Macaca mulatta: one gene and its partners. The protein of the gene in region 1 binds, or shares a complex with, the protein of each later gene. Links are inferred from orthologs where the notes say so. Each region holds a gene or a part of one and is shown in the gene's direction. Other genes may lie near its edges.

Region 1 (7,451 bases):
TACACCTGCCCATCAGCGCCCATCCTTTCACGGGATTAGCTCAATTCTGGCTCTGCAGACACTGGCAGCCACAGGTGACAAATCCTGGGCCTCTGTGGGCTTCCCTCATCACCCAGGGCCACAATGGGCTGCCTGTCCTAGGCAGAGACACAGCAACATTTTCTTAGACTGAAATTAAGCATAAATTCCCTTCACCAATAATCCTCTGAGGGCACAATCCCTGCCTCCTTCCTTGGAGATTTTAAAACACATCTCTCTGACCAAACAGGTAGGTGAGATCTGACTTTAAATGGGGGAAAATCGGGATGAATAGGGGTATCAGGAATGAATCCCAAGTGTTTTTGTGTGGGACAGGCATCCACATCCCGAACTGTACCTGGAGATGGAGAAAAATGCGGGAGAGGAGGAGAGAAAAAAAGGGGGACAAAGTGGCTAAAAGTCATTGAAAGCTTCCCTTTTGGTTCTTTCCAGCTCTGGCTGCTTTGTCAAGATCTTAGGTGAAGGCAGGGTCAGCTCTGGCTGGGAGAGGCTGCTCTGGGAGATGGGAGAGTCACGTCACCTCCAGAAAGCTCATTTGATCATCTGTAAAATGGGGAATCCCATAGTTGGTTGTGAGGATAAAATGAAAAACACATTCTTAACTTGTATGAGTTACATGCTGTATAGTGAGTTACATGCTGTATATTAAGTTACATGCTATATAGTAAGCTCACAAAAATGATTCACTGTTATCATAATTGAAGGACAGTGGTTTGGTGTGCTAAGCACTAAATACAAGCCAGAAAGATGTCTTAGAGAAGCAGACAAAGAAAACTGTAGCTCAGAATGAACAGTAGCAAGAATGGCATGTCCTCCAAATTGAGCTCGGGCAGCTGAATCTGAACCTGTCCTACACATGCGAGTCTACGGTATGAGGTAACAGTCTCCACCTATAGCTATGTTCTCTGCCTATAAGGTCATTCATTTTTGAACAAAGCTGACCTCAGACTATACTGTGATCATTTAAGGAAGAGTGTAAAATACTGGAGAAGTCTAGTCTTCAAGCACTAGATACAGAAATCCTCATATTCTGGGGTGTTGCCTTTCAGACAGAGAGTGAGAGCCACAAGCACTGATCCAAAAATCCCCTTTTCCAAACACATTTTCCATCTTCTACCAAGGTTCACCTCCCTGTTTAGTGCACACTGGTGTCTACAGTTGCTACAGCAAGAGTCTCTCCTTATCCTCCAAGGCAGGAGTTCTGTGAAGACCCCATGACAAGGGGACAAAATGAAACATGTTTAGGGACAACACAGGAAAAACCCATATTATCAATGCTCCAAAACCTGGATACCTCAGACTTGGCCAGTTATGTGTGAGCAGAGAAGTGTGTCATCTACATGGAAGTCATGGCCTAGATGGGTCTGGAACGGTGGCAAGATAAGGCTGTAAGACAAAGTGCCAGGAGAAAGATCAATTCAATCATCTATTTCTGCCAGGAAGAAAAGACCAGGAAGGAATCAAATGTACCGTTTGTCCTCTGGGGACCTATGTCTTGATCCCCAATGAATCTCCTTTTAGATGCCACCTGCAGCAATTCCCATACTTCACAACGCTCTCCATGGCTTCCGTTGGCCTTATGGTCAGCTCTGCCAAGATCTGTATTCTTGGGAAAGACCGAATCCCTCTGAATCTCATTGTCTTCCTCTATAAATGGAAATAATTTTGTTCCACACAAATCACAATTAGCATGTTTGTGGGAAGTTAAACTGTGAACCTCAGCATAAACGAAAAGCTATGCACCACTCTTGCTTATTTAAAAACGTGTAAAGCTGTCAGACACCATACACCATCCAAGTACAGCAGCGTTAGGTTTGAGCCCAACAGTGATTAGACAGGGTACGGGGTGAAGAGGGTGTCTCAGAGCAGTGGGTCTCCTGGCTGTCGGGAAGCTGGATCGGTGGCCATGCCGGGAGTTGAACCCGAAGGTACTCTGTGTGCCCTCTCAACTCCACGGGCCCCACTTTGGCAATTTTTCTGATTCCCTCTGGTTTCCATTTGCTTCCTCCCTCTAGCGCCTGGTCATGTCAAATTTCACCACCAAGTTTCTGAGCTTTTCTGATTTTGTTCATCGTCTTCAGAACACTGCTGCTTCTTTTACCTTTCAAAGAATTCGAACTTGAACTCTGCTCACTCCTGCCCATCACCAGCCAAACTCAGAGTTGCTGAGAAGGGAAAGCACCCTCATAAGCAAGCTCCTCCTTTCTTTACATCACTAGACCTGAGTACAGACAGCATCTCCATCTCCACACTGCTCTGGCCAGGTTATGCCTCAATCAATTACACAACTGTGTCTTAGTAGCATTGGTAGGGCCCAAATCAGGATATTCTCTGGGAAGATTCACTTTGTACTGAGCACAGCATAATCTCACTGCATCGAAAATAGAAAATTCTAGACCCACCCCTCCACATCTTCGTTATTGAACCCAATATGTGACCCATTTACCATGTGCTAAAATCTCCACCTCTGCTGATTCTCAGATCAGATCAGATCCCAGATTTACCATGGTCCAAACTCTGACATCTGATCGGGGGCATGTTATTCTGGTTCAGGTTGTCAGTCCTGAGCAGGTGGGTCAGTTTGCATCACCCTGAGTGCCAATTGCCAGGGCACTGTGAGGCTGCATAAAAAATACCTATGACAGGGTACATATGAGACAGACAAATGTCTTCACATTGAAGAAGGGGAGGAGTACACCATTGATCTTCCATGCTCCAGAGGCACTGAGTAAGTTCCTACCTAAACTGTGCCCTTCCTTCTTTGAAACACTTCCCATCCTTAAGCCTTCATAGGAAGGAGAGCCATCTGGAAGCCCAGAATCCTATGGGATGCTGAGTCCCCCTTCTCCTTACCCCTTAGTTTTGGAATTCTTATTCCCCAAAGCCTTAGATTTAACCGTGCCACATGCTGACTGGAGAGATGCATCTTCATATTCACAGAAACGAGCCTTAGATACGACTTTGCTCCTCTCATGGGGGCTTCAGGACACTGAAAAGCAAAGCTTGTTACCAACGCTTGCCCTTCCTTAAGTACATTAAATACATCCCCAATAGTTTAAACGATTCCTAACAGCCAGGCCATTCTCCCTCCTTCTAACCCTCACCTCCTCGGCCTGAGAAATCACAGCTGTGTGATTGGGGGCTTGATTTTCCCTGTCTTCCCCATCCCAGAATCCTTGCAGGAAACAGCCAGTCTCCCTCTCTGCTCTCTGAAGGCAAGTTCCCTTATCACCTGTGAATCACAAACCCACAGAGTGGCCAAACATAGCTGAGCTGATGCAAGACCCTGGGAAGGGGAAAGCTGCAGGTTTGTTGGTCCTGCGAGGAGCAGTGACCCTCACCTCACAGACACTTCCTCTCCCAATCCTCGGGAGGTATAAAGACTGGTCCTCCACCACCAGTCAGGGACACTCTACCACCATGAATCCACTCCTGATCCTTGCCTTTGTGGGAGCGGCTGGTGAGTTTCATGCCCTGCCTCAGGCCCCAACCACCCCTCCTGGCAGACACATGCCCTTCCATTCTTGCCACCTCTCCTCTTTTGACTGTGCTCTGATATTCTATTTCCTCCATCTGGCATCTTTACTTCCCATCCTCCCTGGGCTCTCTTTAAGCCTCACCTCTTTCACCTTCTCCCTGATTTCACTCCCACCACTACAATTCATCCATATACGAGCTGTGGTTGGAGATGCTGGGAAGGGAGACCAGGTGGGGTGGGCCCACGAAATAAAGCAGCAGGCTTCAGGCTTGGCTCCCACAGCACCAGAATACCTCCACTATAGCTGCTGTTAACCTCAAATGCACCTGGGGAGGTGGAAAAATTACTCATGCCAGAGACTCAACTCTAGAAATTCTCACTTCATTTGTCTGGGGTGCAGCCTGTGTTCTGGGCTTTTAAGCTTCCCAGGTGATTTTTAACATTTCTAGACATGCAGCCAAGGTTAAGAATTGCTGTTCTTTTGGACAATAATAACGTCTACCTTTGTTCTGCCGAAGTGAGCCCGGGGCATCCCTCAATTCTGCCTTCACTACACAGATCTGGGCTGTGGGGGAAGCTGGTCATGGCCAGGTCTACACAGCCAGCGGTTTTCCTAGCTTGGCCAAAGTATCCTGACCATCCAGGGCTTAAACAGCCAGGTGGAGTACACAGGTGGTGAATAAAAGAGAGAAGCATTCAGTGGGTGAGACAGACACATCCCAACTCCTATCCCACTGGAAGCATTGTGAGGACATTCCTTGCATCCTCAGCCTGGTGACCCCAGGAGAGATCTGAACACCTGCAGGGTACCTAGCTATGCACCCTGCAGACACAGAGACTTGGGAGCCACATCCAGTGATGCTCACCAGGGGTGCCAGCGCTCCCTCCCTTGCCTAGCCTCACTGAGCTTCTTAAGGATTTCTAATTAGCAGAAAGCAACTGCAGGCTGGGAGCACCACCCCTAACATGCAACTGACTTGCCTTCTCCCTTCCCATCTCCACTCCAGTTGCTGCCCCCTTTGACGATGATGACAAGATCGTTGGAGGCTACACCTGTGAGGAGAATTCTGTCCCCTACCAGGTGTCCCTGAATTATGGCTACCACTTCTGTGGTGGCTCCCTCATTAACAAACAGTGGGTGGTGTCAGCAGCTCACTGCTACAAGCCGTAAGTGTGGGGTCCCTGACTGCAAAGCTCCCAGCCAGGTTGCCTGGGCGAGCTTGGCTTTAGCCCACGGAATCACTGAGGTGGGTAAGATGGACGGGAGAGGTAGTGAAAAAGAAAACCTGTTGGCAGTAGCTGACTCTTCAGAGCAGAGAGTGAACACAAGACAGGAACCTCTCACACCCAGGCAAATCCATGAAACAGCAAGGGTTGTGGTCATAAAAGCAGGCAGGGATGATCTTGGATGGACTGAGCTTGTGAGAAAAGCAGGCAAGTACTTTTGCTGGTTAGCTACACAATAAAGCCACCTAGGAAAGAGTTTTTAAAAATACTGATGCCTGTGTCCTATCTCAGGGCAATTAACTCAAAATTTTCAGGAAGAGGGTGTGAATATCAGTGAGTATTTCACACTCTACCTCTGGTAACTATAGAATCTATAGACAGAGCTGAGAACTGCCGCCTCCGCCAAGAACTCTCAAACCTGAGTAGGCATCAGAACCACCTGCAGGCTTGTTAAGGCACAAATCACTGGGTCCCATCCCCAAGGTTCTGATCAGTAGGTGGGAGTAAGGCCCAAGAATTTACATTTCTAACAAGTTTCCAGGAGATGCTAATGCTGTGGCTACCCTTGGATTAGATTACACAGAAGGGTGGTGCTCACCAGGCCAAGAAGGGAGGGAGGAACAGGCACTGTGCACAGTTAGCAAAGGCCTGGGGTGAAGAACGCTGGGAAAACTACAAGGAGCTCTTTGTGCCCACAGTGCTGGTGACTGTGGAAATTGTGGGAAAGAGGCTGGGAAGGCGGGATGAGGAGCAGCCTCTGGTGCATCCCTTTGACTCTTCCGCACCCCACTAACGACCTCTGAAGCAGAAAGGTCCTGGGTCTCACACCTGCACTGACCCACATCCCTCTCCTGCCCATGTGATATGACCACATACTCCACCCCATGGCTCCAGAGCTGTCCATGAGCAGGGAGCTTAAGGACCCTGGGGATGGTGGGATGGGTACCCCAGCAGTGGAGGAAGGTCTTCACCACGCCTGCCCTGCCCATCAGCCGCATCCAGGTGAGACTGGGAGAGCATAACATCGAAGTCCTGGAGGGGACTGAGCAATTCATCAATGCAGCCAAGATCATCCCGCACCCCAAATACAACGAGGTTAAGAAATATAACAATGACATCATGCTGATCAAGCTTTCCACACCTGCTGTCATCAATGCCCGTGTGTCCACCATCTCTCTGCCCACTGCCCCTCCAGCTCCTGGCACTGTGTGCCTCATCTCTGGCTGGGGCAACACTCTGAGCTCTGGCGGTGAGTGGGACCCTTTGTCTTTCTACTTCCCTCCATCCTCCCAATTTCCAGAATGAAGCATATCCCTTAACTTGAATCCTCTCGCCCCCAGGCTTAAGACACATTTCCAGTGCCCATTATACACAGGCTCTGGACTGAACATGAGAGAGATGCAAAGTCTAAGGACTTGGCTCCTAATTCAAAAGACAGGACAAATGGAGAACTTGCCCTGATCACATTTTGGGAGGGGTTCAACAATGATCATTCTGGGAACTAAAAGCCAGAGTCCCTTGTCAGGACTTATGTTTTGGAGCCCTCTCCAGGGGCAGTGTTCCTCTTCAATGTTCCAACCTAGATTATTGTCTCCTTCTCTGGCCTAACCCACATTTCTACTTTCTTTGATCTCTTCCTGATCCTCACAGCCGACTACCCAGATGAGCTGAAGTGCCTGGACGCTCCTGTGCTGACCCAGGCTGAGTGTGAAGCCTCCTACCCTGGAAAGATTACCAGTAACATGTTCTGTGTGGGCTTCCTTGAGGGAGGCAAGGATTCCTGCCAGGTGATTTGAACAACCCTTCCCATTCTGAAGCTCCCACTGATACCCAGGCCCCATCTTGGAAAAAGATTTCAACTCCCAAGGTGGTGGGGCTGAGGAGGCTCCCTGTAGTATCCCCATGGAGAAGTGAGGAAGGCTCCCTTGGGCTGCATGCTGTCTGCTTAGGGACAGAGAATGGGCCACTGTGAGAAGGACGTGGAGCCACAGAGCTGCCTGAAAGGGGTCTTTTAAGGTTCAGAGTAAATATAGCTATATTCCTCCTCCATCTCTCCATACAACTTGTCCCTTCTTCTCCCTAGGGCGACTCTGGTGGACCTGTGGTCTACAACGGACAGCTCCAAGGAGTTGTGTCCTGGGGCTATGGCTGTGCCCAGAAGAACAGGCCTGGAGTCTACACCAAGGTCTACAACTATTTGGCCTGGATTAAGGACACCATAGCTGCCAACAGCTAAACCCCCTGTCCCGCTGCAGTCTCTATACCAGTAAAGTGACCCTGTTCTAACTGTGTCTGTGCCTGCTCCCTCACACTCCTTCACACTGGAAAGCATCCTCCAATCTCAGGTCAGATTGGGGTGCCCCCCTTAAAGGTAAGCAGAGCCCCCAGCTCCCAAAATGTGTTGCATGGTACACTAGATTAGCACATACAAGGACATGGAATCCAAAAATAGTAAGAAGTTTGGGAGAAAAGGGGGTACTCTTTTCTAGAGAAACGTGTGTTTGGAAAGGTGGTCTTTTGGTGGAGAGGTTGATTTTTATTTGGGCTTCTCACAGTGGTTGGAGCTACTCTGCCTTCAGAACAATCACAGCACAGAAAATGTGTCAGCATCTTCCAGACAGCCCAAAAAATTTTACGAGCTAAATCTTATTGCTAAATTACAACAATAATTACAAATGCTACTGGTGATGACATGCCTCTCCCAGGA
Region 2 (7,562 bases), on another chromosome or scaffold:
GAACAAATATATTTTCATCCCAAATCAAATCAAATATGATTCAACCAATATCTATCAATGCTAAGACTAAACTCCATGAGGGCAGACATCATATCCATTTCCCCAGCACTCAGCCAAAAGTTTTTGTATAGTAAGGACTTGATGGATATTTGAATATACTAATAGTTGAAGGAATAAAAGGCCTGATGATGAGCCAATGAATGGCTACTCAACTGGAGGCACTGGAGACACAGAAATGAACAAGGCATAAACCTTGGTCTTCAGAAGTATATACATTTATCTCTTAATTTATGTTTTTAGGAAATATTTATTTAGTGTCTACTATTTTCCAGACACTTTATTAAGTGCTACAATAAATAAAGCAGCTGTATTTGCTCTCTAAAAATAAAGAGATATTACATAATAATCATACAAATAGCTGTAGAGTTGGAATTATTTTAAGTGCAATGAAGGGTTTTATGAAATCATACAATAGGAGGCATTAATCTAGATGCAGAAAGAAGTAAAGGAAGACCCAGAAAGAATGGCTTAATGAGAAAATACCTACCACTTAACCTTTTAACCTTAGAGGGTGCAAAGCTGTTTTGTTTTGTTTTCTTGGCCCTAGCAAAGGGTAACAGAGAAATGACCAAAGTAGCAAGGAAATAACCGGATTGAGCAAGGAAGAACCTCTTGGGGAATAAAGATAGAAAGGAGCCAAGTCATGCAGAACCTAAATTCTTCCTGAGCATTCTGAACAATGAGAAACTGGACAGAGACATTATCAAATTTGCAGTCCATAAACATCCCTTGACTGTTCCATGGGCAGCAACTTTAAGGAAGAAATAACAACAAATATTGAGAAACTCTTTGCAGGAAATGCAGAAACCCAGGGGGGAAATGATGGCGTTGTCTTAGATATGACAGTGGAAGCTAATGAGAAGTGTCCGGGGTTGAGGTTATTTTGAACACGAATCCAAGAAGAGAACTTAGTAGCAAATTAAGTGTGGAAGATGATGCATAGAAAGGGGAAAGGGAAATATCAGGGAGAACAATGAGGTTTGGGCTTGAGTGATCTACTGGAAAGAAAAGAAGCTGTAGGGAGAATAGAGACAAAAATACTGTGGTGAAAGATCAAAATAGTAGTATGGGACATATTAGATTTGAAGTAGCTGTAAAACATCCAAATAGTGATGTCAAGAACTAAACACTTCCAAAGCTTCCCTTTGATAAAAACCAAAGTCCTTACTCTAGCCTACACTAGATCTAGACCCTCACTGCTTCCTTTATTTCATCTCCCATTCTGCCCTCTATCACTTTGCTGGAAGCCAGACTGTCCTCCTGGATGTTTCTCAAACATGTCAAACCAACGTCAGCCTCACAGCCTTTGCACTTACTATTCTCTCTGTCTGGAATGCACATCCTTGGAATAATTACATAGTTCAAATCCTCATTTCCTTCATGTCTCTGTTTGATATCACCTGAAAAGCAAGACTTCTTCTGATTATGCTATAATACATATCTCCTTAACCCTCCAGCACCCTTATCCTTCCTATCCATTTCTCCATAATAGATATCTGATATATTTTATAATCATTTATTATTTTTTGTCACCTGCCTCCCTCAACAAAAATGCAATGGAAGCTCCATGAAGACAGAGATTGTTATTTTTATTTACTGATCTGTCTCGAGAGATAAATACAGTTCTTGTCATGACTTGGAAAGGGTTTGAGATTTTATCTTACTTGGAAGCTAAGAAGTTAACCTGCCACATTATAATGGTTTCTGGCAGAAGGCACAGACTCCTGGCTCAGAGATAAGGGACTTAATTATTCCATAGCAACAGCCAGAGTGTTGGAATTTGTTCTGGTTTCCCAAGCCCCAATTTCCACAGGCCAATGTAAGGCACATCAAGTGATACTTGCAGCGAAAGTACAATGTGTTAAAGGAAAGCAAGGCCAAGCTTTTAAAAACCCGAAATCTTTTAAATAGGGCAATTAACATGATCTTTGCCCTAGAAGGAGATATTAACTTTATTACACTAAACAGTAAACAAACCTGACTTTTGATGCAGAGGGAGACATTACATATTTGCTAAGGTCATTTGCTATACAAACACCCTTAAAAAGATAGTCTGAAACAAAGGTTATCGGTACCTCTACTCATAAGACATGCAGAAACATGAGAGAGGATGGAGAATTCTCTTCCAACAACACATGGTAGATAACCAGCACATATTCTCAAATGAAAGAGTAACCCTTTGAGTTAGATGTTATTATTATTTTAATTTCCAGATGAATACACAGAAGCACAGCAAAAGTGACTCCAACAAGCACCCTCTACTCTAGAATACACGCTTTAGGGAACTGAGTCCTCTCTCTCTCTCTCTTGCTCTCTCTTTCCCTCTCATCTGCCACTCCATCAGCTACTCTAAGCTTTGTGAATGGGTGATAGAAAAATAGAGAAAAGAGAAAGAAGAATAAGAAATGAAGAGTGGAGGAAAGGAAGAAAGAATGGAGAGGTTTTATCCTACTTGGAATAAAATTCTTTCTAGTCGCTATCCATACCTGCTCATCTATCCAGACCTACAGAGTAGAAGGGATCTTTGGGTTTACCTTACAGGGGAGAAAACAGGCTTCAGAAGGGTATGACTTTCCCCCAACCATAGAGAGAGCGGGATCAAACTAACCACTAGAACTATTTTCCTGACAGAATGTTTGCCTTGCATGTTTCAGGCCCACCTGGCTCCTTTCACCTTTCTTACGCAGGTGACATTCCCAGAACCTGGAGGCCAGGCTACAACACAGAGTCAATCAATAACCAGGGAGATCTATGATATAGCCCAGTAGGTGGGGCCTTGCTGTCGTCTGCCATATGACCCTTCCAGTCCCAGGCTTCTGAAGAGACGTGGTAAGTGCAGTGCAGTTTTCAACTGACCTCTGGACGCAGAATTTCAGCCATGAAGGTAACAGGCATCTTTCTTCTCAGTGCCTTGGCCCTGTTGAGTCTATCTGGTAAGTGTTTTTGCATATTTTTCAAATTTAAATAAAATCATTTTGACCTGTTGCTTTGTGGAGCACATTATCTTCTAGACTTTTGATGTAGTCTAGTCTTCGAGAGATCTTTTGGACCTAGTGAGATGAAATAGAATCCACAGATAAGAATTATTTTTTAAGAGGGATTTTTAACTTACTACAAGGAAAACAATTCTGCTAGTAAGAACTGCCTAGAGATAAAATGGTTTTCCTCTATTGATGTGGCTGACACTTTGTTGGAATACGGTAGAGAAAAAAGGGTAAAAATATTTCAATTTTAACTATACTTCTAATTTTGTAAATGTGTAAGGCCAAATTACAATAATATATGTGATATAAAGGGGAGTTTTTATTTTCAGTTTCTGGTATTTCTTATTAGTATCTGGAAATACAAAAATTGCATTTTGTGTATTTACATTACACGTTTTGAATGTTTTGAAAGAAAACATTCTGCTTGAATAGATGGTGCACATATACCCCCAACTGCATCTTGACAATGTTAACAGACAACTCTGAACCCTCAGAGCCAAGATCAGTTTCCTTTTTATCATTGGAAATAGTTAACATTTTCAACTTCACCTCTCATGTAGCGACGGATCCTGTGGAGAGCCAAATCAGCACTTTGCTAAGAAGAGGAAGAATATTGTTTGTTGTATTCGCCGAATACTTATGGCAGCTGTCAGTGTTCCCTTTCCCCCTCCTCGTGCATGTTAATTAATACAAATAGATGCTTGTGATGAGCACCTGTTCATCAGTTTTTAGATTCAACTAGATTCTAAAAGCCAGTGGGCCCCCAACAACATCAAGTTCTGACTATCCTGGGGGAAATTCTCCAAGCTCTTAGATGCCTCGCTAATTTTCATTACATTTAGATACAAAGAACTACCTCTTTACCCAGATCACCTCAAAGATTGATGATATTAAAAATTAATTTTCACAAATATTTCCTTATTTGGATGCTATCAGATTAATCCCTTTCGCTTCCATGAACTCATCCACAGTTATCATTTTCTACATGTTGTCAGCAAAACCTATGCTATCTTCCGGGGAACGGAGATTAGCTATTTTGACTACCTGTAAATTCAATAAATGTGAGTTGGACCCATAGTCCATATGATGCAATTGTTGGAAATAGCTTTTTGGGAACTGATAGTGAGTTGGCAAAAGAGCTCTATTTTTTCAACATTACTTACAAAAGAGAATTTAAGTGTAATTGAAAAAGCTAATTTTGCATCAGAAGGCCTGGTTACTGCTTGTGATAACTGTTTCACAGCTTTTCATCTGTAAACAGATAGAAAGTATACTTCACTAATTGTGAGATTAAAGATCTAGTAACTGGTTTTGAGAATGTTTGTGAGGATTCAAAAGATAATTTGCTCAGTGCCTGATACATTTCCAGCAGTAAGTACATAATTTCTATTTTCAAGGAAATAGATCAACTTCCTAAAACATCAAATTGAGATACTTTGGTCATAATCAAAGTTTTACTTAATCTTTTTAAGGTTTTGCCAGGGAGGGGGTGCAGGAAAATCAGTCAGATACTTTTGGAGGATTATAGAAATCAGAAAGGGTAGGGAATGAAAGAGCCTAGTAAAGAAGTCATGGTCTGCAGTGAAAGCAGAGAATTCTGAGGAAGAATAGATCTGACTTCTCTCGTTTAGGACCCAACTTACCATATCTGATTATTTCCAGGTAACACTGGAGCTGACTCCCTGGGAAGAGAGGTAAAGAGATATTTGTAATTTCTTATTTCTCAGGCTGGAACAGTTTGATCCAACAAAAATGCAGCCTTGCTGTCACCTTTCAGTTGAGCCTGAAGTTAAGAGGAGTATGAATGCTAGGGAGGGTTAATGTGTGAAATGCAAACGGTAATAGTAGTTCCACCCCACAGGCATATATTGAAGGACAATTTCACTGATGTATAAGCAAGTTCTATATAGTCCTACAGTGCTTGCTGTGAAGGGGTTTTTATATAAACTAGTGATAGCTGTAAACAAGTATTTGGGGTGGAAGCCTTCTCAAGTTCACTCCAAGTAGCCCTTCCTCCTTACAGCCAGTTTGACCATGTTGGCATGCAGCTTCCCCAATGACCAAGGTGTGGCTCTAATTTATAATGAACAACAGAAAACAATAAACTAGGTTCTTCTTCTAGAAAAATATTCTAACTCTAATCTTTTCATATTTTTTTGTTTAAAAGGTAATTTCAGTAAATTTGGAGACCAGAGGAAGAAGTGTCCCTCTTCTCAGTACATTTATATCTAGTCAGAGACAGCTAATAGACCAAAAGTTCATGAATGAACACATGATTACATTTGTGATAAGTGTTATGAAAAAGATATGCTGCCATTAAGAACTTAGCCTAGTTAGAGAGATCAGGGAGGGTGCTCCGAAGTAAGTGAGGGGTCATTTTGAGCCAAAAATAATAATAATAATAATAATAATGAGTGTTAGCAAAGCAAAACTGGTGGGGAGATGTAGTAGAATGAAGTAGTTAAGAGCTAAAGCTCAGGAACTCTGACTAGGTTTGAATTCTGAATTTAGGAATTCCTTAGCTAGGTGTCCTTGGCTAATTTTATTGCTTTGTGCCTCATTATCTTCACCTGAAGAAGAATATAATACTTAGTTCACAGGATAGTTAGGCGGTTTAAACAGAATAATATGTAAAAAGCACTAGGACAGTGTCTAGGACAATGCCAATCATTTGATGATTATAAACTCTTACTAGAGTAGAATGCAAAGACTTCCAACACTGGATGTTGGCTAGTGCCTTTAAGTGCCTAATAGAAGGCCAGTGTGTGTGGACTATAGTGTACAAGGAAGAACATACCTCAAGATGTGGCCAGCCTGAGAGATGCCAGCATCTGCAGTAACTGTAAACTTGAACATTATCTCACCCATCCGTGCAAACCTCACAACAACACTATGAGATAGGTGGGAAATGGTAATATCATCACCATTTTGCAGATGAACTGACTGAGTTTCAGAAGGGCCATAGGACTTACTAATGTCACACAGTTTAGAAATAGCAGAGGCATGACTTAAAACAAGGTTTTCTGTCTCGAGATCTTAGGTTATTTCTCTTACAACACACAGTATCGTTCTCCCAATCACAGTTGTGCCCCAGAGAAATTAAAACCATTTCAGAGATTTTGCTATGAACTCAAGAATGGAGAATAATGGGAAATGATTCTGTTTAATTCCATTTTTAGGCCAAATGTTACAATGAACTTACTGGATGCACCAAGATATATGACCCTGTCTGTGGGACTGATGGAAAAACTTATCCCAATGAATGTGTGCTATGTTTTGAAAATCAGTGAGTACAAACTTGAGTTTCTTTTAAACTATATATTTTAAGATAGTTATCTTCAAATATACTGATAATATGAATCTCACCCTGAGAGAAGCAAACTATTTACTTTTTCCAAAAACAGTTATCTCTTTCTTATTCTCCTTTTTATACATTTAGCATTATAATATTATTTTTAAAAAGTCACTTTTATGATAAAAGTCTACATTTTTACAGCAAAATAGTTGATAGATTGGATTTTTATTAATCTTATACACACAAAATACCTTTAATTAAAAAGAAATATTAGTGGTTGCAATGATTGTGTTTTTTAAAGCTCTCATTTATGCAAATATAAATTGTATAGATTATATAACCAAAAATGTATTTTTACTCATGGATATGAAAGCCAGTTTCAGTAAAGCTTCATTTTCTCAGTATCCATGAGTAAGAGATGGGATACAGAGAAACAGATTCGACACAAATTTCCTATCTCACTCAGCAACTGAAACCTTAGCATGTGTAAAGCATTATGCTAATATTCCTTGTCTTACTGGTGCTTATGACTAAGAAAACGTCATGAGCACATATAGGATGGCTTCTTATAATTTTGGGCAAATGCCAGAAGATGAGGTGTAAATAAAGTGCAACAGGAGTGAAGCAGGGATACATATTTTTTGTTATTAAAAGGGGCCAAGAAAGGATCCATGAAAAGAATAGAATGCCGGCCGGTGCCGTGGCTCACTCCTGTAATCCCAGCACTTCGGGAGGCCAAGGCAGGTAGATCACCTGAGGTCAGGAATTTGAGACCAGCCTGGCCAACATGGTGAAACCCCGTGGTGGTGGGCACCTGTAACCCCAGCTACTCAGGAGGCTGAGGCAGGAGAATCGCTTGAACCTGGGAGGCGGAGGTTGCAGTGAGCTGAGATTGTGCCACTGCACTCCAGCCTGGGTGACAAGAGTGAGACTCCATTAAAAAAAAAAAAAAAAAAAAGGAAAAAAAAAAAAGAATAGAATGCCATTTAAATAGAGCTCTGAATTTTGGCAATATCAAAAGAGCATGCCAGGTTAAATAAAGGTGTGGAATGAACAAAACAAATAAAAGGGGATTCCACGAGTGACTTTAGTTTTTCTGAGATTGACTTGATATTAAAGACTTTGACTCAGGCTCAAATGACTGTGTAAATTTCTATTATATTCTACTGCATAACTTTCCTTGCCTGTAATGCAAACCTTCTTCTTGGGCTGGTTTAAACCAT
Region 3 (6,789 bases), about 150 Mb from region 1:
TATTTCTATCTTCATTCACTTCTCAGTCTAACCATTTTAATTCTACTAATATAAAAGAAGTTGGATATAAATGTAGACTTAAAAAGGTCACAAACTGTCTGAGTAGCAACTTTGATAAACAGAAAAAATATAAGAAATGATAACTCTTATTTAGAGCTAACTTTGTACCAACAGCTTTTCAAAGACCTTCAAATGTATTGTGTAGCTACAACATACGAATGGTTATTGGTATGCTTGTTTTACAGATGAGGAATCTGAGACAGAGACTAGAGGTAACTTGCTTAAGTTCACATCATTAGTGGGTAGCAGAAGTAAGATTCCAAACTAGACAATCCAGCTCTAGAATTTGTAGTCCATCTTACCACTTACTCATTTATAGGGTAAATTTTTTAAAAAATTGGATGCATAGCAATAATCTATGTATTAGCAGTTTATTTGTTCTTAGACAATTTTTTACATTTTTAAAATGATAAACTATATACATACATATGGGCATATAAATTCTCTCTCTCTCTCTCTTTTTTTTTTTTTTTTTTTTGAGATGGAGTCTCACTTTTTCACCAGGCTGGAGTGCAGTGGTTCACTGCAATCTCCACCTCCCAGGTTCAAGTGATTCTCCTGCCTCAGTCTTGCTAGTAGCTAGGACTACAGGTGCATGCCATCACACCCAGTTAATTTTTGTATTTTTAGTAGAGGTGGGGTTTCACCTTGTTGGCCAGGATGGTCTCGGTCTCTCGACTTTGGATCTGCCCACCTCGGCCTCCCAAAGTGCTGGGATTATAGACGTGAGCCACCGTATCTTTCACATGTGAGTGATTTTAGTTTTACCTATTAAATTCACAATTGTTGGGTTAGCTATTTTATTCTAGTAAACAAATAAGTTTAAATTAGAATGTAATGCACATGCCATAGTTTTATTAAATAATTTTAGTATAATCCTGGTCTATTTAAAAACTATAGACATACACAAGGGCTATATTTTAAAGAAAAAAAAAGTGTGGATATTTTACAAAATTATACAAAGTACTACCAGATAATACATATTGATTAAACTTTTAGAAAAATGGCTGTTTGGGTCTTATTTAATTGCTGTGAATAACTTGAAGGATCTATAAGCATTTGAAAGTCCATTGGAATCCCTGATGTTCAATAAACATATGAAGGTTAGTTATTTTACAAGGGAAGTAGAAAATAAATATGTATAGGTGATAATACAATTTAACAGTGAACAACTAAATATAAAAAGGGCAAGTTAATGCTTTACCAACACACCAGAGATCATAACGCATACTACTATTTTTTCCTTTTTAAACTATTATTTTAGATTCAGGGGGCACATGTGCAGATTTGTTACCTGGGTATATTGCATGTGTTGAGGTTTGGGGAATGAACGATGCCATCACCCAGGTACTGAGCATAGTACCCAGAAGTTAGTTTGTCAACCCTTTCCCCTTTCCCACTCTCCACTTCTGGTAGTCCCCAGTGTCTATTGTTGCCATCTTTATGTCCATGAGTTCCTGCTGTTTAGCTCCCACTTATGCTTGAGAACAGGTGGTATTTGCTTTTTCTGTTCCTGCATTAATTTGCTTAGGATAATGGCCTCTAGCTGCATCCATGTTGCTGTAAAGGACATGAGTTCATTCTTTTTTATGGCTGCATCTTATTCCACAATGTATATGTACCACATTTTCTTTATCCAATACACCGTTGATGGGCACCTAGGTTGAGTCCATGACTTTGCTATTGTAAACAGTGCTGTGATGAACATGTGAGTGCATGTGTCTCTTGGGTAGAATGACTTATTTTCTTTCGGATATATACCCAGTAATGGGATTGCTGGGTCAAATGGTATTTCTGTTTTAAGTTGTTTGAGAAATAGCCAAATTGCTTTGCACAGTGACTGAACTACTTTACATTTCTATCAACAGTGTGTAAGTGTTCCTGTTTCTCTGAAAGCCTTGCCAACATCTCTTGTTTTTTAACTCTTTGGTAATAGCCATTGGTGACCAGTATGACATGGTATCTCATTGTGGTTTTGATTTACACTTCTCTGGTGATTAGTGCTGATGAGTATTTTAAAAAATATCTGTTGGCCACTCGTATGTCTTTTTTGAGAAGTGCTTGTTCATGTTTTTTGCCCACTTTTTAATGGGTTTGTTTTTTGTTTGTTCAATTATTTAAGTTCCTTATAGATTCTGGATATTAGACCTTTTTCAGATGCATAGTTTGCAAGTATTTCCTCCCATTCCATAGGTTGTATATTTACTTTCCTGATAGTTTATTTTGCTGTGCAGAAGATCTTTAGTTTAATTAGGTCCCACTTGCCAATTTTTGGTTTCGTTGCAACTGCTTTTGAGGATTTAGTCCTAAACTGTCTGCCAGGGATAATTTCCAGAATTATGTTTTACTTTTTTTTCCTCTAGGATTGTTAGAGTTTGAGGTCTTAATTTAAATCTTTAATTTATCTGGAGTTAATTTTTATATATGGTGAAAGGTAGGGGTCCAGTTTGATTCTTCTGCATATAGCCAGCCAGATATACCAGCACTGTTTATTAACTATTTCCTCATTGTTTATTTTTGTCAACTTTGTCAAAGATTAGATGACTGTAGGTGTGTAGCTTCACTTTACTGTGGGTTCTCTATTCTGCTCTATTGGACTATGTGTCTGTATTTGTACCACTACCATGCTGTTTTAGTTACTATAGCCTTATCGTATAGCATGAAGTTGTGTAATGTGATGCAGACTATGTGTCTGTATTTGTACCACTGCCATGCTGTTTTAGTTACTATAGCCTTATCGTATAGCATGAAGTTGTGTAATGTGATGCCTCTGACTTTGTGTTTTTTGCCTAGGATTGCTTTGACTATTCTGGCTCTTTCATAGTTCCATATGAATTTTAGAATCATTTGTTATGATTCTATGAAAAATGAGTTTGATAGTTTAATAGGAATAGCATTGAATCTGTAGGTTGCTTTGGGCAGTATGGCCATTTTAACAACATTGATTCTTCCAGTCCATTGGCATGGAAGTATTTCCATTTGTTTGTGTTATCTGATTTTTATAGCAGTGTTTCGTAGTTCTCCTTGCAGGTCTCTTTTATACCCTTGGTGAGAGATATTCATAAGTATTTTATCTTTTGTATGACTATCGAAAATGGTATTAAATTCTTGATTTGGTTCTCAGCTTGAATGTAATTGGTGTTTAGAAATACAACTGACATTGTACATTTATTCTGTATCCTGACACTTTGCTGAAGTCATTTATCAGTTTCAGGAGCCTTTTTGCAGATGTCTTTAGGGCTTTCAAAGCACATACTACTTTTAACATTTTTTATACTTTTTTTGACATCACTTTAGACTTTTAAAAGTTGAAAAAATTGCACAGAATTTTCATATAACCCAGCTGCCTTGGATGTTAATATTTTGTTTATCCATAGTACAATTACCACAGTCAAGAAATTAACATTTCTACAATATTGTTAACTGAACCACATACTTTATTCAAATTTCACCAGTTTTTCCACTAATACCCTTTACCAGGTTAAGATCCAGTGCAGATTCCTATGTAAGATTTAGTTATTACGCTTCCTTAGTCTCCTTTAATCGGTTGTAGTTCCTCGGTCCTTCCTTGTATTCTGCATTTAAACATGCAAACTTCAATCTAATTTAGAGTCTTTAAAATACAAATGAAATAGTATAAATAATACGTTACATCAATAATGCAGTTAACGTTATTTAGACTATATGCACACATACTGCTTGAATTATTATTTCTAATTATCCTCTTAATGGGATAGTTTGGTGTGAATGTATTACATAGAGATCTTGGGTTGTGGAGTCAATCATTTCGATGACCAAATTCCAGATCTGTTGCTTCAGACATTTACTACCTTGAGAAATTTTCTTAATCATTCTAAACACCAATTACCCTATCCCAGAAAAGAAGAAATAATGTCTTGTCACACCAAATTATTGTGAGAATTATATGTCATTATTATTATATTTACTAATGAGTTCATCACTGTGTGAGTTTCAGTTGAAGCAATTCATTTTAAACATAAATCAGTGTCCATGAAAATATGCTGATAAAGGAATTATGCAGGACTTAATGACACATTTTATTATCCATGTTTATATTTAATTTGTTAACCTTCTTTTTTACATTTTTTTTCCTAGTGAGGTTATCTATTTTCTACACATTCTAAATAACGTCTTCAACAAGGACAGTCACCAGCTAATGGCACAAGGTCATGCATGACATTTTTATAATTATTAGAATGAAAGAAGTAGCTTCAAAGTCATGTTTCAAAGTAACCAAAATACTGAAATCTTCACAGCAATTCATATGTCAAAACCCAGTGGTGTCCCTGGATGCTAGGTGTTCAAGAAGTATCTGAAAGCAACTACAAAACTTTTAATGGTTCACTTCTCACCATGTTTCCCTGAGTCACTTCCCATAATTGGTGGGAGTTCATCAGTCCGTGTATCTTCCAACAGGAATCTCAATAACAATAATAATGAAAACTTGGAAGCTTGGAGTGTGGGTTAGACTTCAAAGAAAAGAAAAAAAATATTGAAAGAATGGAAAAAAACTTTAGTTTCCAATCTTTTAAAACAATCAGACAGCTGGGGACAGAAAGCAGCTGATTTTGAAACATGAGACTACAAAGAAAAAGCAAGAACTACAGAGCTAACACATCAAGCAAGAGCTTTACTTCTGTGTCTTAACAGAATGTGCATATTTTTCCTACTCATAATCCAAAATCTTAGTGTTTTTTTCCTTATTAATTTATCTAGGTGCAGCACTTGGACAAAGTCATGAAGTCAGAGGGACATTTAAAATAACATCCGGAGTTACATATAATCCTAACTTGCAAGACAAACTCTCAGCGGATTTCAAAGTTCTTGCTTTTGACCTTCAGCAAATGGTAGGAGACTGTCTCTCTTCAGCTGGTTTAAAATTTTATAACATAGTTTAACTAACTACTTGCCAAAAACACCATTTTGTCACTGTGAAACAACTAGAGAATAAATGTAATATACCCAAAATACTTAAATGTCTGAGCCCCATTACTATGGAGAAAATTCCCCCAATTCTAAGCAGAGCATAAAGATTGCTTTGCATAAATTTTTCAACAAAAGTTAAAATCTTAAATTTAGTATACTCATTCAACCTTTTACATTTTTCTAGATAGATGAGATCTTTCTATCAAGCAATCTGAAGAATGAATATAAGAACTCAAGAGTTTTACAATTTGAGTGAGTACAGCTCAAAAATTTTCTACTGACAGAAAATTAGGGATCTTTTTGCTAATATTTGTAAAATAGCATCACTATACATAGGAAAAGAGGAATATTTAAATTTTTCAACATTTTTTGAGGATTAAGCAAAGTGGCATAGCATAAACTTTCATTTTAGTAGCAAATAATAATAACTTTTGAAAATAGATCTTATGTTAATATGTTTCTCTTGACAATAACATCTTGCAGAGACACATGGAGAGGGCTGAGGTTAAATGTATGCAGATGCAGATATAGTGTTTGATTTGCTACAAACATTTGGAAAAAGCTTGCTCTTCATTTAATAAAATAATATTGTATCACGCTGCTTCATTTATACTATAAATACAAAGAGAGAAGATACTTGTTCACTTTTGTACCCAGAGGGTGTAACATTGCTTAAAGTTGGTGCTCAATAAACTAATGAATCTTACATTAATAATGTAATGATGTAATTCCACACTATGAATGTTTGAATCTGTAATATATGGAAATTTTTGTAAGAACTATTTTCTTATTTCTATTGTAAGATCTATTTTCTCGACAATTACCTTTTGTATTTCTCACAAAGAAAATTGATCTGTGTGTTGTTGTTGCTATTGTATCATGAAGGAGAGTTTGACAATCTTGCCAACATCTCTCTGAACCTAAAGTTTTCTAAGCTACAAACTACCAGTAGGCTTCTTGAGTAGAGATACAAGCCAACAGGAAAGTTAAAAAAAATTATAAAAGAAAGAAAAATGTAAATTTATAAAATTAAGTTAAAAATGAAAAAGACAAAGGGAGAGAATTCCAAGAAAAAAAAAAGTTAAATATTGATCAAGAACAGGGGTATCTGAAGAAGGGAAGGGAGCAAAGTCTTCACAATAATTCACATTTAAAAAGCACAGAAAGAAAGACAATATTACAGAGCCTTGGGGAAAACGCAGATCCTATGACAAGCTGACAAAAAAGAAACTCACTGGTTGAGTCTCTATTTCAGGCCAAGCCTTTGGCGACTTAAGTAATTTTTTTTTTTTTTTTAGACAGAGTTTCGCTCTGTCGCCCAGGCTGGAGTGCAGTGGCGGGATCTCAGCTCACTGCAAGCTCCGCCTCCCGGGTTCCCGCCATTCTCCTGCCTCAGCCTCCCCAGTAGCTGGGACTACAGGCGCCGCCACCACGCCCGGCTAATGTTTTATATTTTTAGTAGAGTCAGGGTTTCACCGTGTTAGCCAGGATGGTCTCGATCTCCTGACCTCGTGATCCACCCGCCTTGGCCTCCCAAAGTGCTGGAATTACAGGTGTGAGCTGCAGCGCCCGGCCGTAAAATGTATTTTCTTCTTCATTCCTCACCAAATGACTGTGAGGGAGAAACAATTATTCCAACTTAAATAAATAATGACACCGAGGCTTGGAAAAAAACTAACTTGCCTCAAATCACACAGTAGGTGCTGGGGAATGTATTTGAATGGGGTTTTGTTGTACTGATTCAGCATATGCTCTCCTTCCAAATGAGAATGTTGGAGTAGC

What was found.
Region 2: the proteins of putative trypsin-6 (region 1) and SPINK1 are in contact, whole or in part, in a crystal structure (PDB 7QE9), measured with the Homo sapiens proteins. The link is inferred for Macaca mulatta from reciprocal best matches to the Homo sapiens genes PRSS1 and SPINK1. Residues at the interface, in NP_002760.1 of Homo sapiens: Tyr45, His46, Phe47, Cys48, His63, Cys64, Lys66, Arg101, Lys102, Thr103, Leu104, Tyr154, Tyr175, Lys178, Asp194, Ser195, Cys196, Gln197, Gly198, Asp199, Val214, Ser215, Trp216, Gly217, Asp218, Gly219, Gly227; in NP_001341895.1 of Homo sapiens: Tyr33, Glu35, Leu36, Asn37, Gly38, Cys39, Thr40, Lys41, Ile42, Tyr43, Asp44, Pro45, Pro55, Asn56, Val59, Phe62.
Region 3: the proteins of putative trypsin-6 (region 1) and TMPRSS15 are in contact, whole or in part, in a cryo-EM structure (PDB 8ZIV), measured with the Homo sapiens proteins. The link is inferred for Macaca mulatta from reciprocal best matches to the Homo sapiens genes PRSS1 and TMPRSS15. Residues at the interface, in NP_002760.1 of Homo sapiens: Phe18, Asp19, Asp20, Asp22, Lys23, Ile24, Val25, Tyr45, His46, Phe47, Cys48, His63, Cys64, Tyr65, Lys66, Arg68, Ala91, Lys92, Arg95, His96, Arg101, Lys102, Leu104, Asn146, Tyr175, Phe188, Leu189, Glu190, Gly191, Gly192; in NP_001414986.1 of Homo sapiens: Tyr276, Thr277, Ile279, Trp297, Glu298, Leu316, Glu318, Asp320, Glu321, Ile369, Gln370, Ser372, Phe374, Pro376, Phe377, Ala389, Gly399, Pro400, Gly401, Gly402, Arg403, Glu405, Glu432, Asn433, Lys485, Ile486, Leu487, Val513, Pro514, Thr515.

Annotation. Positions count from the first base shown.
Region 1 is NC_133408.1:182,662,012-182,669,462, forward strand, and holds putative trypsin-6, read left to right. Parts: upstream 1-3,340; 5' UTR 3,341-3,459; coding exon 3,460-3,499; intron 3,500-4,524; coding exon 4,525-4,684; intron 4,685-5,736; coding exon 5,737-5,993; intron 5,994-6,394; coding exon 6,395-6,531; intron 6,532-6,827; coding exon 6,828-6,980; 3' UTR 6,981-7,035; downstream 7,036-7,451. UniProt on the Homo sapiens protein: Has activity against the synthetic substrates Boc-Phe-Ser-Arg-Mec, Boc-Leu-Thr-Arg-Mec, Boc-Gln-Ala-Arg-Mec and Boc-Val-Pro-Arg-Mec. The single-chain form is more active than the two-chain form against all of these substrates.
Region 2 is NC_133411.1:156,707,234-156,714,795, reverse strand, and holds the start of SPINK1 (serine protease inhibitor Kazal-type 1), read left to right. Parts: upstream 1-2,714; 5' UTR 2,715-2,938; coding exon 2,939-2,993; intron 2,994-4,706; coding exon 4,707-4,738; intron 4,739-6,223; coding exon 6,224-6,330; intron 6,331-7,562. UniProt on the Homo sapiens protein: Serine protease inhibitor which exhibits anti-trypsin activity. In the pancreas, protects against trypsin-catalyzed premature activation of zymogens.
Region 3 is NC_133408.1:29,314,818-29,321,606, forward strand, and holds part of TMPRSS15 (enteropeptidase), read left to right. Parts: intron 1-4,797; coding exon 4,798-4,928; intron 4,929-5,191; coding exon 5,192-5,259; intron 5,260-6,789. UniProt on the Homo sapiens protein: Responsible for initiating activation of pancreatic proteolytic proenzymes (trypsin, chymotrypsin and carboxypeptidase A).